3 linked regions of the Rattus norvegicus genome follow. The main gene of each other region encodes a partner of the protein of the gene in region 2 in a complex. Links are inferred from orthologs where the notes say so. Each region holds a gene or a part of one and is shown on either strand. Other genes may lie near its edges.

Region 1 (3,644 bases), on a different chromosome or scaffold from region 2:
ATTCTCCAGCACCATGAACGCCATTGTGGCTCTCTGCCACTTCTGCGAGCTCCATGGCCCCCGCACGCTCTTCTGCACGGAGGTTCTACACGCTCCCCTGCCCCAGGGTGCCGGAAGTGGGGACAGTCCTGGCCAGGTTGAGCAGGCTGAGGAAGAAGAGGGCGGCATCCAGATGAGCAGCCGAGTCCGTGCCCACAGCCCAGCCGAGGGCGCCAGCACTGACTCCAGCAGCCCGGGGCCCAAGAAGTCAGACATGTGCGAGGCAAGTGCCCTTTGGGACCGTGAGCTGGTTTTAGCCTTTCTGTGAGAGGTGGGCTGTAGTGGGAGCCTGGGAAACCTCCAAGGTCCTGAGAACATTTTTCTCACCACCCCAGCATGAGCCCTTTTAACCTAGTCAGTGCAGAGGCCGGTCTAGTCTACAGAGAGAGTTCCAGGACAGTCAGGGATGCACAGAGAACCCCTGTCTCGGGGGGAAGAAAACCACACATCATTACACATACTTAAAGGAAGTCGTACCAACTAGAGATAATGTTTCTCCAGAAAAAAGCAAGTTTCTTTTCTTTCTTTCTTTCTTTTTTTCTTTTTTTTTTTTTGTTGTCGTTGTTGATTTTGGTTTTGGTTTTTCTGAGACTGGGGTTTTCAGTGTAGCCCTGGCTGTCCTGGCACTTTACTCTTTAGACCAGGCTGGCCTCAAACTCACAGAGATCCTCCTTCCTCTGCCTCCCTAGTGCTGAGATTAAAGGTGTGCACCACCACTGCCCAGCAAGAAGATGATTTTTAAAAAGTTTTAAAAATTTAAAAAGGATTGTGTTTTCTATATTTAGATATGTTGCCTGCTCCTAGCCAAGAGATTTATTTATTTATTTATTTATTTATTTATTTTGTCGTCCTTTGTGTGCAGGGCTGCCGCTCGCTTGCTGTAGGGCACCCAGGTTATATCAGTCATGATAAGGAGACCTCTATCAAGTACGTCAGCCACCAGCACCCCAACCACCCACAGCTCTTCAGCATTGTCCGCCAGGCCTGTGTCCGCAGCCTGAGCTGTGAGGTAAGGCCAGCGGCAGGCTATCCGCGGGAGACGTGCACGGGGACAGATAGGTTCATTGCTGTTTACCAACACAGGGGGCCTTGCTTGTCAGTGCTGTGTGAGCATGGAAGCAGTCGTTAGAGCCTGAAGAGTAAGTCCCTGTGGACTCGGGCTGTCTACATAGGGGTTGGCATTTCACTTCGAACAACAGACTGGTTTTTCTAGTCCATTCTTGATGGGCAAGTCTCTGAGATGGGACGGTCCCTAGGCAGTGTCACCTTTACATTGTATCAACATGCCATGGTGGAATGCTTAGAACCTTCCAAAGAATGCATCCGGCTGCAGGGCTGGCTCAGTGGTGAAGAGGTCCTAAGTTCAATCCCAGCAACCACATGTTGGCTCACAACTGTCCATAGCTCAGTCCCAGGGGACCTCACACCTTCTTCTGGCCTCCATGGCCACTGCACGCACGTGGGATAGACATATATGCCGGCAAACAGAGCAGAGAAGAAAAATAAAGGTTTAACAACAAACAAGAATGTTTGCCCCTGAGCTTCTGCTGTGGGGCCCGAGTCTCAGCTTCTAGGTCTGATCTGTCCCACAGGCATATATGGCCCCTATCTCCACCTTGTAGGATCCCTGGGCGCCATGGTGCTTGTTCTCAGTGTGCTCTATACCTCCGTCTCCTGCTGTACGCTCAGCAGCACCAGATGCCCTGTGCACAGTAGTCACAGGTCCAGCAAATTTGTCAGGAGGGAGAGACCAAAGGACTCTCTAAAAATAGGGTGTGCTATGGGCTGGAGATAGCTCAACAGCTACGATTCTGTGCTACTGATACGGATGATCTCAGTTTAGTTCCTAATATCCACCCACGCTGGGTAGCTTACAGCCTCCCATGACTCCAAATCCAGGGGATCCAGCACCTTTGGCCTCTGCAAGCACCTGTACTCGTGTTTACACCACCCCCTCCTCCAACCCTACACACCACATTCCCATGATTTAAAGACCAGAAGTAGCCATTGCTTCTGCTGGCTCTCCAGTCTGCCCATCAAGAGCAAGTTGTAACATTTGGTGCCATTCATTGATAGGACACTGGCCTGCTCTGTTCCAGCCAGGCCCTGAGTCCTAACCCCAGCACCACCAAAAACAGGAAAAGAGGGCCTGGAGAGATGGTTCAGTGGTTAAGAGCACTTACTGCTCTTCCAGAGTCCTGAGTTCAAATCCCAGCAACCCCATGGTGGCTCACAACCATCTGTAATGAGATCTGATGTCCTCTTCTGGTGTGTCTGAAGACAGCTACATACAGTATATATATACTTATATATAATAAATAAATCTTTAAAAAGTCTTTAAAACAATAACAGAAACAGGAAAAGAGGCCCACGAGGCTTGAGGTAAAGTCAGGACTTCCCCTAAAGTTACTGTGGCTCCCTCCAAGGTGTGCCCTGGTCGTGAAGGCCCCATCTTCTTTGGTGATGAGCAACATGGCTTTGTGTTCAGCCACACCTTCTTCATCAAAGACAGCCTGGCCAGAGGCTTCCAGCGCTGGTACAGCATCATCGCCATCATGATGGATCGGATCTACCTCATCAACTCCTGGCCCTTCCTGCTGGGCAAGATCCGCGGGATCATCAGCGAGCTCCAGGGCAAGGCCCTCAAGGTGATGCTCAAGGCGGGGCTGTGGCCGTTTGGCATGGATGCTGGGTGCCCGGGCAGCAGTGGTCCTCCTGGCTCTGCCTCTGCTTTGGGCCCACGCTTCAGTGCGGTGATGTCCCGGGCGACCCTCCCAGCCAGCCTGTAACTCTCCTGGTTTCATCCTGGTCTTGAATTCAGAGACCCGCCTGCCTCTGCCTCCTGAGTGCTGGGATTAAAGGCAATCACCCCCGCCACAGCTGTCCTAACTGCTATTCAACCTCTGACTTCTTGCCCAGTACCTTTACTTCCTGTACCCTTCACAACCCAAACTGCCTGCTACTCTTATCTAGACCCCACCTAGGGCACCCCCTCCAGCTGCAGAAGAGCACACAGGCAGGCATGGCCATGCTTTGGTCACAGACCTTTAGACTCAGTGGCCCATTTCTCATTTGTGCTCTGTCCTTGGGCAGTAGAGGAGGAGGCTGTTCATCCTTCGTCCTGATAGGTGGAGTGGCTGGACTGTATTAGAATGTGGCTGGAAGGCATAGGAGCCTCCTATAAGGAGTTAGTCCTGTGTCTGTCACCTGCAAGGGTCTGTGAAATGAACCTGAGTACTTGAAGAACGGTGACTATCCAGTGGAGTCCAAGGAGCCAAGTAGGGGTAGAGAGGAACACACAGAACCCCCTGGGTCAGCAGAACCATTCTGTGAGGCATTGCCAGACTGCTGGCATGGACCGTGTTCTGAGTCAGGAACACAGAGTGGGAGAATCTGGGAAGTGGGGTGGCAGTAACTGAAAGGTTCGGTGGTAGCCATCCCTGAAGAGGCCCTCTTCTCCACCCTTTGTATTCAGGTGTTTGAGGCAGAACAGTTTGGATGTCCACAGCGTGCCCAGAGGATGAACACTGCCTTCACACCCTTCCTGCACCAGAGGAACGGCAACGCTGCCCGCTCTCTGACCTCCTTGACCAGTGATGACAACT
Region 2 (4,229 bases):
TGTGTGTGTGTGTGTGTGTGTGTGTGTGTCCATGTGTACCGTAGCTCACAAGTGTAGGTTTGAGAACTATTTGTGGGGTTGGTTGTTTCCTTTAACAATGTGGGACTCAGTGATCAAACTCAGGTTATTAGGCTTGGCGGCAAGCACCTTTGCCTGCTGAGCCTCTTTGCTGGCCCTACTTCAAAATTGTTGCCATGTTGAATTCCGGGCCTGGGCATGCTGGGCAAGTGTTCAAACTCAGACCCATGCCTCATTTTTAAAGACATGCATTTTCTCTAATTAGCTGCTTCTCCTAAACCAAGACGATTTGGGGTGGAGGACTTTCTTTCTTGAGCTATGATTAGTGCTGGGGATACAGACCAGATGGAGAGCTCTTACCCAGCATGCGCAAGGCCCTTACTTTGCTTCTCGGCACTGAAAATAAGGGGGGGGGGGGGGAGGGTTATATAATTCACAGATCTTGAAACATTTTAATTCAAAGTGTACAACCTATGTCACAGTCACAAAGATAGGCAGACTTCAATACGAATCCCAAAAAGTTTAAATCACACGTGCCACTCCCCCCCCCCCCTTAATAGGCACTTCCTATTTTCTCTTGCCTCACTACCGACCACTAACTGCTTTCACGTTTTTCTGGATTTGCCAGAAGTGTATGTGTTTTAGTTAGGCTCCTGGTAGGTAGCTCAGGCTGGCACTGAACTCACTATTCAGTCCAATCTGGCCTGAACTTGAAACCCCCTTCCTTGGCTTCCCAGGATTTATACCAGTATTACAAGTATTCAGCGTCAGTCACAGCTAAGCATCTTACATAGATGGAACCACATAATATGTGGTCTTATGTGACTGCCCTTTCAAGCCAGTCCTTCTGGTTGATTCTGAGCCTCTAAAGGCTGAGTTGTCTCTGAAGCTATTCTTCTGGCTTGCTTTAACTTGCTTTCGAGATTCTCAAGTTGCTCTTGGTGTCAGGACGTTTTTCCCTTGTATTGATAATATACTACAGTGTGCATATATACACCAAATTTGATTTACCCATTCATATTTGGGTCGTATACTAAGGCAGAAAATTAACACGTGAACAGTTTTTCATGTGTAAACCATCGTCATTCACATTAACTTCTCTTTTCAGGTTGAACCGTGACACCTAACGGGGAAAGCTCTTTACAACACTAGACTGCATTACTTTCTCCTTGGAAGCCTAGGCGCACGCGCACGTTCGTGAGGAGGTGGAGAGGTGCCCCGCCCCTCGCTCAATAACTCTTCAGATAATCTCGCAGGCGAATCCTGAGTGGCGAGGAAATGCAACCAATCCACGAATGTGTCCGGAAAGCGGCGCTCCGCAGTGGTTGATAAAGTCTGATGACGTACGCACCATCCAATGCGCAAGCGAAGGGCTGGGCTAGAGTCAGCTGGTGAACCACCTGACCGGAGCCTGGAGCCGGAAGCTACCTATCCGGTAGACAGCTCCCCCTGCACCTACGGCTGCCATGGTGAGTGAGGACGCATGCGCGGGCTTGTGCGCCTAGGGTTGCGCGTCCCTGTTCCCCAAACTTCGGTTACCCCCTTATGGCTTGCACTCCGCTGTCACCCCCAGTCCACCCTGGGACCGAAAGGAAACAGAGATGGAAGGGAGGCGACCGGGAGGGCTGGAGAAGGAAGGCTCCGCTACCGGGTGTTTTGCGGCCGGGAGTAGTTTTGATGGCACAAGGGGCGGGGCATAAGGGCACTGGAATGAGAAGGGGCTGTGAAGCTAGGAAGGTCTCCTGGGTCACCTGCCTGACAAGTGGAAGAGCTCAGGCGTCCAATAGTGACCATGGATGGAGACTCAGTGTTACAAGCCATTTAGAGGGTCTGAAAGGCTTATATCCAGGAGGGAGATGGGTTTACAAGGCTGTCATGGTTCTCACCTCTTGCCTCTTTACCCACTAGACTTCCGCACTGACCCAAGGGCTGGAACGAATCCCAGACCAGCTTGGCTACCTGGTGCTGAGCGAAGGTGCAGTGCTAGCGGTGCGTTGTGGGAAAGCGAGGCATGGGGTGGTGGCGGTGACGGGGTCCTTTGGGGACACACAACCCAGAAATCCCTTCAAATATTTCCCGCTTTCTCTCAGTTGTCTACTTTTGTCCTCTCTGTGGTTCCCTGCTTGCCATATTTAATGTTTGGATATATGGTATAAATGCTTATTTCCAAAAGGTTGGGGTTATAGCTCAGTCAGGAGAGTGAGTTACTTAGCACGTACAAAGCCTTCAGTTCAATTCCCAATACTGCACAAAACCAAACACAGAGGCACGTGATCTGTAGCCCCAGCACTTGGAAGGTGGAAACCGGCAGATTAGAAATTCAGGTTCATCTTTGGCTATGTATCAAGTCAAATCACAGTCTGGACCACATGTAACTCAGCCTCAAAAAACAAAAACCAAACTTTACCAAAGTCATTCAATTAGTTAGTTACTTGTAGTATGTTTTTATTTGGGATATCTTTAAAAAAGCCGAGGACAACCTTTGGGAGTGAGTTCTCCTCCTGCCATGCGGGTCCTGAGGATTGAAATCCGGTCCTTAGGCAAGCACTTTTATGCTCTGAGCCATTTCACCTGCCCCTAGAATTTTGGGGGGCGGGGGCAAGACTTCTCTAGAGGCAAGGATTGAGCTGAGCTGCTAAGACAGAAGGTTGTGAACGAGGAAGAGAATTCTCAGGGCTGGGAGCTGGACATACTTGCCTGAGTGTAACAGCGCCTGGTTGTGGTCTTGTGTTGAAACAGTTTGAAGAGGAAGGATGCTGTGGTAAGACTCTGATACTGAACTTCCTATGGCTAGCTTCAATATCTTTGGACAAATCTTGAGGGTTACTTAAAGGGTTTTGAAAACATAAATGTGACTCACAGAAATGGTGTAGCATGACTGTCCCAGGAGAGCCATCTAAGAGACTGGCCGGGTAGCAATGAGAAGTAAGGGCTATAGACATTGTATCTATTTTTTTAGTGTCTGCACATGTGTGTGCCCATGCATATGCTAAGACCAGTGTAGGACATTAGAGACCTCCTCTTACCCTTCTCTGCCTTATTCCTTGAGGCAGGGTCTCATACTGAACCTGGAGCTAGACTGGCAACACTGAGCAAGCCTTAGCAATCAACCTGCCTGTACACCCACAGTACTGGGATTCCAGGTGTGAGCATGGCCATGTAGGGTAGGGGATTTGAACTCAGGTCCTCTTGCTTGTACAGCAAGCGCTCTTATCCACTGAGCCATTGCCACAGCCCAGAGATCACATCTTAGAGGTATTAATATATGTTGGTAATAACTAGGTAAAGTACTTCTGCATGTACCTTACCTTTCTGATGTACTCATCCTGTAGGACTCTGAGCAGGGAAAACCAGAAAAGTACTGTGGTACCTGAACAAATAAGAAAGTAAAAAAGGAAGCTGACCAAGGAGGTAGCTAAAGGGAATTTTGATGGCCTGACTATAGACAGGAGATGAGTGAGGTCTGAGATGAGTGAGATGGACTGATAGCAGTTATAGTACATTTATTATGTAGGCACTGTTATAATATTCTCATTGTTTTCTCATGAAACTTCCACAAGCACAGAATATGGGTCCAATATACAGATGGAGAAACTGAGAGCAAAAGGAACTAAATCTAGTAAAGGGCCCATTTAGAATCAGTGGGAAGAGGGAGTAGAAGCAGTTTGTCCAGAGAAGTCTGGACTACTGTCTTCTCATTGACCCTAGAAGTAGCCAGAGGGAAAGCTTCAAAGACAAAGTAGGTGTTTCTGGTTCATAGCCTTCAGACAAGGACAAGTGGGAAGACTGGGGACAAGTGGAACCTTCAAAGATTGAGCAGTTAGCTTAGTGGTAGAACATCTTCCTAGAATCCTCTGTGAGGGGCTGAAGGCATGGGTCAGTAGTAGAACACTTGCCCAGGAGTCCCCCAGTGAGGGGCTGGGGGCGTGGCTCAGTGGTAGAGCCCCTGCCTAGAATCCCCCCAGTGAGGGGCTGGGGGTGTGGCTCAGTGGTACAGCCCCTGCCTAGAATCCCCCAGTGAGGGGCTGGGGGCGTGGCTCAGTGGGAGAGCCCCTGCCTAGAATCCCCCAGTGAGGGGCTGGGGGTGTGGCTCAGTGGTACAGCCCCTGCCTAGAATCCCCCAGTGAGGGGCTGAGGGCGTGGCTCAGTGGTACAGCCCCTGCCTAGAATCCCCCAGTGAGGGGCTGGGGGTGTGATAGATCACTTGGTAA
Region 3 (4,118 bases), on a different chromosome or scaffold from region 2:
AGCCTAGGATCCTTCTGGAGCCTGCAAGCAAGGTGTCCCTTCCTCAAGCTCCCCCACCACGCCCCCAGCCCTGGTAGTGCGGCCAAATCGGCCCCTACCCGCGCCACACTCCCCGGACTAGCCCGGGTAGGGCGCCCCCTACCCGCCTCTCCCGCCTGGATGCCCCTGGGTTCCGCCCCGGCCGGGGGCCCGTCCCCGGCGCCAGGCCGTTCCCCTAGGTCTTCCTCTCTACGCTGACCCCTCAGTGCGCTGCTCCCGCCCTCCTCTCTCCCGCGCCAGCCCTACTACCTCCTTGACCGAGGCTTGATCGCAGATCAGGATCTCCTCCTTGTCCTTGGGGGTCTTGACGGTGACCCGAATCTGGGGCCTCGTCTCAGCCCCACTCGGCTCCGCCATGCCGCCGCCCGGCCGCCCGCCAGCCCGCCCAGCTCCTCCTCCTCCTCCTCCTCCTGGCCCGCCCGGCCCGGCTCGGCTCCGGAGCCTCCAACTCCCCCTCCCGCCCCTCCCCAAGGCTCCGCCGCCCCCTCCGGACAGCTGCAGCCACAGCGCCCCGGGCGGCCTGGGGGGGCACTGCAGTTGGGGCGGCCCGGGCCCGAGCGGGGTGCGCAGCTGGCCCGGGCCGGATAGTGCGGCCCGCGCAGAGGGCGGGAGATTCAGGGCCGCCCGCGGTTCCGTCCCGTTTGGACAAAGGACTTTCGGTGTCGCCGTCTCATCTCCGTTCCCCGAGGTAACTATTTTTCTTGAAAGGCAGAATCGGCCAGGCCTAGGTTCGTTCCTGGCTCAGGGCGTCCTTAAAACCTCTGCAGATTCTAACAGTCGTGACCTCCCGGGAACCGCCCCGAGGGGGCCATTAAGGACGGTTTCAGAGACCTGGAGTTTGCCTACGTGGCTTCTCTGAGCCCTGGGTGTCAAGAAAGCAAGACTCTACAGAATTGTGACTAGCGTACAATATTGCTTTAAAAAATGGCTAAGGATGTGCCTAACAGATACAGAGATTTATTATTAGATTGCGATTGACCAGTAGGCACGGAGGCGCCCTTCGCGTGGAAGAGGTTAAAAGTCCTTCCAACATTGCCACTGTCCTTGCGCTCCCGCTCTTTTCCCCCCCACAGCCACATGGTCTGACTGAAAAGCTGAACTATAGTTCCCAGAATTCCTTGAGCGGTCACAAAAAACTACGATTCCCAGAGGCCCCCGCGCGGGGCGGGAATTGGACCACAGCCTCAGTAAATAAGCCCGGTGACTACAACTCCCAGGTGCCTCGTAGCTGGGCTTCCGGGCCACCGGAAGCGATGAGGGAGGGCAAGAGGCTGCGACTGTAGTGTTTGTGGGAGCAGGTCAGGGTTAAGAGACGCAGGCATGCTGCGTCCTAAGGCTTTGACGCAGGTGCTAAGCCAAGCCAACACTGGAGGAGTCCAAAGTACCCTGTGAGTGAACAACAAGAACCCAAACAGCGAGCGCTGAAATGGGGCGGCGTGCGGATCCCTGCAGTAGGGGTAGGGAAGGAGCCCTGCGCCGGGAGGTGGCTAATGTTGCAAACTGCAGCTTCGGGAACCCTGCGTGAGGGCCTCCTCCGAAAGGGGAATCGACAGTTGATTAGCATGTTCCTGGATATATCCAGCACAGATTCTTGCTTCCTGAAAGCGCAAGTAGCTGGAATTGGGATAGGAACTCAGGCCTTTTACTCTTCCTGAGTTTGTTGATATCCTTCCCATTCTTGTCAGGCTGCTGAATAATGAGGGATCGTTGCTGGCCTACTCCGGTTATGGGGACACAGATGCCCGGGTCACCGCGGCCATCGCCAGTAACATCTGGGCCGCATACGATAGGAACGGGAACCAAGCGTTTAATGAAGACAGTCTCAAATTTATCCTCATGGACTGCATGGTATGAAGTAAAGTAGGCTGACCTCGAACTTACAATGATCATTGTGCTTCTGCCTTCTGAATACTGAATTTGCATGTGTTCACAGTCGCACCTTGCCAAATAAAACGTAGATATTAAAAAAGGAAGTGAGAGTAGGGTGCAGGCCTATGTAAGGGTCAATCTCAGCGAAAAGGAGACATTTGTTAAAAGATCTGGAAGACGATTGGAAAGGGTAAGAGCCATGAAGAGATCTTTTGGAAAAATATTTCTAGCAGTGCTGGCTATGGTGGCTTATTCCTCTAGACTAGTACACAAGAGACTGAGGCAGGATCTCTTTTTTTTTTTTTTTTTTTTTATAAGCTCTTTTTTTTTTTTTTTTAAAGATTTATTTTATTTATATGAGTACACTGTAGCTGTCTTCAGACACACCAGAAGAGGGCATCGGATCCCATTACAGATGGTTGTGAGCCACCATGTGGTTGCTGGGAATTGAACTCAGGACCTCTGGAAGAGCAGTCAGTGCTCTTAACCACTGAGCCATCTCTCTAGCCCCGAGGCAGGATCTCTTTGAGTGTTTATTTTCTTTTTCTTTTTTGGTTTTGTTTTTTTTTTTTGGTTTTTTTTTTTGAGACAGGGCTTCTCTACGCAGCCCTGGTTATCCTGGAAGTCTGTAAAATCAGGGGGACCTCAAAATCTGAAATCTGCTAGCCTCTGCCTCTCAAGTACTGGGACTAAAGGCGTGCACCACCAACGACCAGCCGTTGCACGTATTTCCGACAACAGTTGTTGCAAAGGACCTAGGGCAGAGTGATGCCAGGACAAAGATCAGTAAGGATGGAGTGTCATAGAATGGAGAAAAGTTATTAGGAGATAGCACTAAAGAGGCCTGTGGGCTTCCCAGTCCTCTGAAGAATGATAGTGTGCAGAGCACTGCTGTTCTCTGGCTGCCCATTCTTTACACCCCTCTTACCCACTGCTGGACTCCTACCGGGTGCTGGGTCTAGGGCTGGTGCCATTGAACAGAAGCTTCAAAGGCATTCACTGCAGCCCAGCTATAAGAAATGCATTTTAATGGACAGATGGTGGAGCTCAGTGGTAGAGCAGTAGCTTAGAATGTATGGGATTCTAGAATCTATTCCTAGAAACACAATTTGTGTTTTTGAGTCAGAGCCTAGCACACACACTAAAGCAAGTTCCGTGAAGCATCACTTCTCTTAATAAATGAGCCATTTTATTTTTACTTTCAAATGTTGATCCACTTTAATTGATCTCCATTTTGAACAGTTACAAAGTAGGAAAAGAGACATGTAAGTTGTGTGTGTGTGGGGGTCGTTGTTACCTTTTTAAGGTTTATTTTATTCTGTATGTGTGAGTTGCTATGCCCGGATGTTATATTGAGCACCATGTGCATGCACAGTGCCCTCGGGGTGAAAGAAGGCATTGGATCCCCTAAACTAGATGATTGGCAGCACAATGTTGCTGTTGGGAATCGAACTCAAGTCTACTGCAAGAGCAACAAACAAGTTGGGCTATTGTTCCTGGTCCCTCACCTGTTGAGACAATTCAGCATTAGAGAAGAAAGCCCCAATTTCTCAAAGACTTGGTTCCCCAGGATAACTTGGTTAGGACATGGCTCTGCTGAGGCTGGAATTCAGTTTCAGACCCCCATAGCTTAAATGCTGGGCAAAGTTCCCTGTCTGAACTGCCTGCTCTGCCAAGCTTGGGAGACAATATCTATCTCTAGGACCAGAGGAACCCTGGGGAAGGCAGGAACCAAGGATGTCAAGCAGAGTGCCCCAGTGTATTATGTCATTCCCACCAGGAGGGCCGTGTAGCCATTACCAGGGTGGCCAACCTTCTGCTATGTATGTATGCCAAGGAGACTGTAGGCTTCGGGATGCTCAAGGCCAAGGTGAGTACATTCCTATGCTACAAACTTCCTGGGCTGGAACCAGATCTACCTATGCACACCCTTGCTCTGAATAAGGACATGGAATCTTTAATTAGCTTTATTATAAATTTTGGGCACTATAGCTGGGCAGATTCTCAACTGTTCTAACCCAACAATACTGGCTTGGCCTACGTCCCATCCCATGTCCCATTACCTGTCCATCTTCGTCATGTCCCGGCACCTGCTTCTTCATCCTTGTCCAGCTGCTGACTCCTCAGGGCTGACTCTCAGAATTCCTATCTCTTCCTAGAAGTTCCACCTTCTACTTCCTGCCTCTGCTGTAGACCATCAGCTCTTTAGT

Evidence for each region.
Region 1: Lamtor4 (region 2) and Flcn share a complex: the UniProt entries of both Homo sapiens proteins name them as parts of the lysosomal folliculin complex. The link is inferred for Rattus norvegicus from reciprocal best matches to the Homo sapiens genes LAMTOR4 and FLCN.
Region 3: Lamtor4 (region 2) and Lamtor2 share a complex: the UniProt entries of both Homo sapiens proteins name them as parts of the ragulator complex. The link is inferred for Rattus norvegicus from reciprocal best matches to the Homo sapiens genes LAMTOR4 and LAMTOR2.

The regions. Positions count from the first base shown.
Region 1 is NC_086028.1:45,097,242-45,100,885, reverse strand, and holds part of Flcn (folliculin), read left to right. Parts: 5' UTR 1-13; coding exon 14-262; intron 263-901; coding exon 902-1,048; intron 1,049-2,465; coding exon 2,466-2,687; intron 2,688-3,514; coding exon 3,515-3,644. UniProt on the Homo sapiens protein: Multi-functional protein, involved in both the cellular response to amino acid availability and in the regulation of glycolysis.
Region 2 is NC_086030.1:22,370,854-22,375,082, forward strand, and holds the start of Lamtor4 (ragulator complex protein LAMTOR4), read left to right. Parts: upstream 1-1,415; 5' UTR 1,416-1,484; coding exon 1,485-1,487; intron 1,488-1,926; coding exon 1,927-2,007; intron 2,008-4,229. UniProt on the Homo sapiens protein: As part of the Ragulator complex it is involved in amino acid sensing and activation of mTORC1, a signaling complex promoting cell growth in response to growth factors, energy levels, and amino acids.
Region 3 is NC_086020.1:176,306,894-176,311,011, reverse strand, and holds the start of Lamtor2 (ragulator complex protein LAMTOR2), read left to right. Parts: upstream 1-1,283; 5' UTR 1,284-1,359; coding exon 1,360-1,427; intron 1,428-1,724; coding exon 1,725-1,887; exon of another isoform or gene 1,888-3,114; intron 3,115-3,610; coding exon of another isoform or gene 3,611-3,688; coding exon 3,689-3,778; intron 3,779-4,118. Other genes in the region: Ubqln4 (ubiquilin-4), read right to left, coding at 289-396. UniProt on the Homo sapiens protein: As part of the Ragulator complex it is involved in amino acid sensing and activation of mTORC1, a signaling complex promoting cell growth in response to growth factors, energy levels, and amino acids.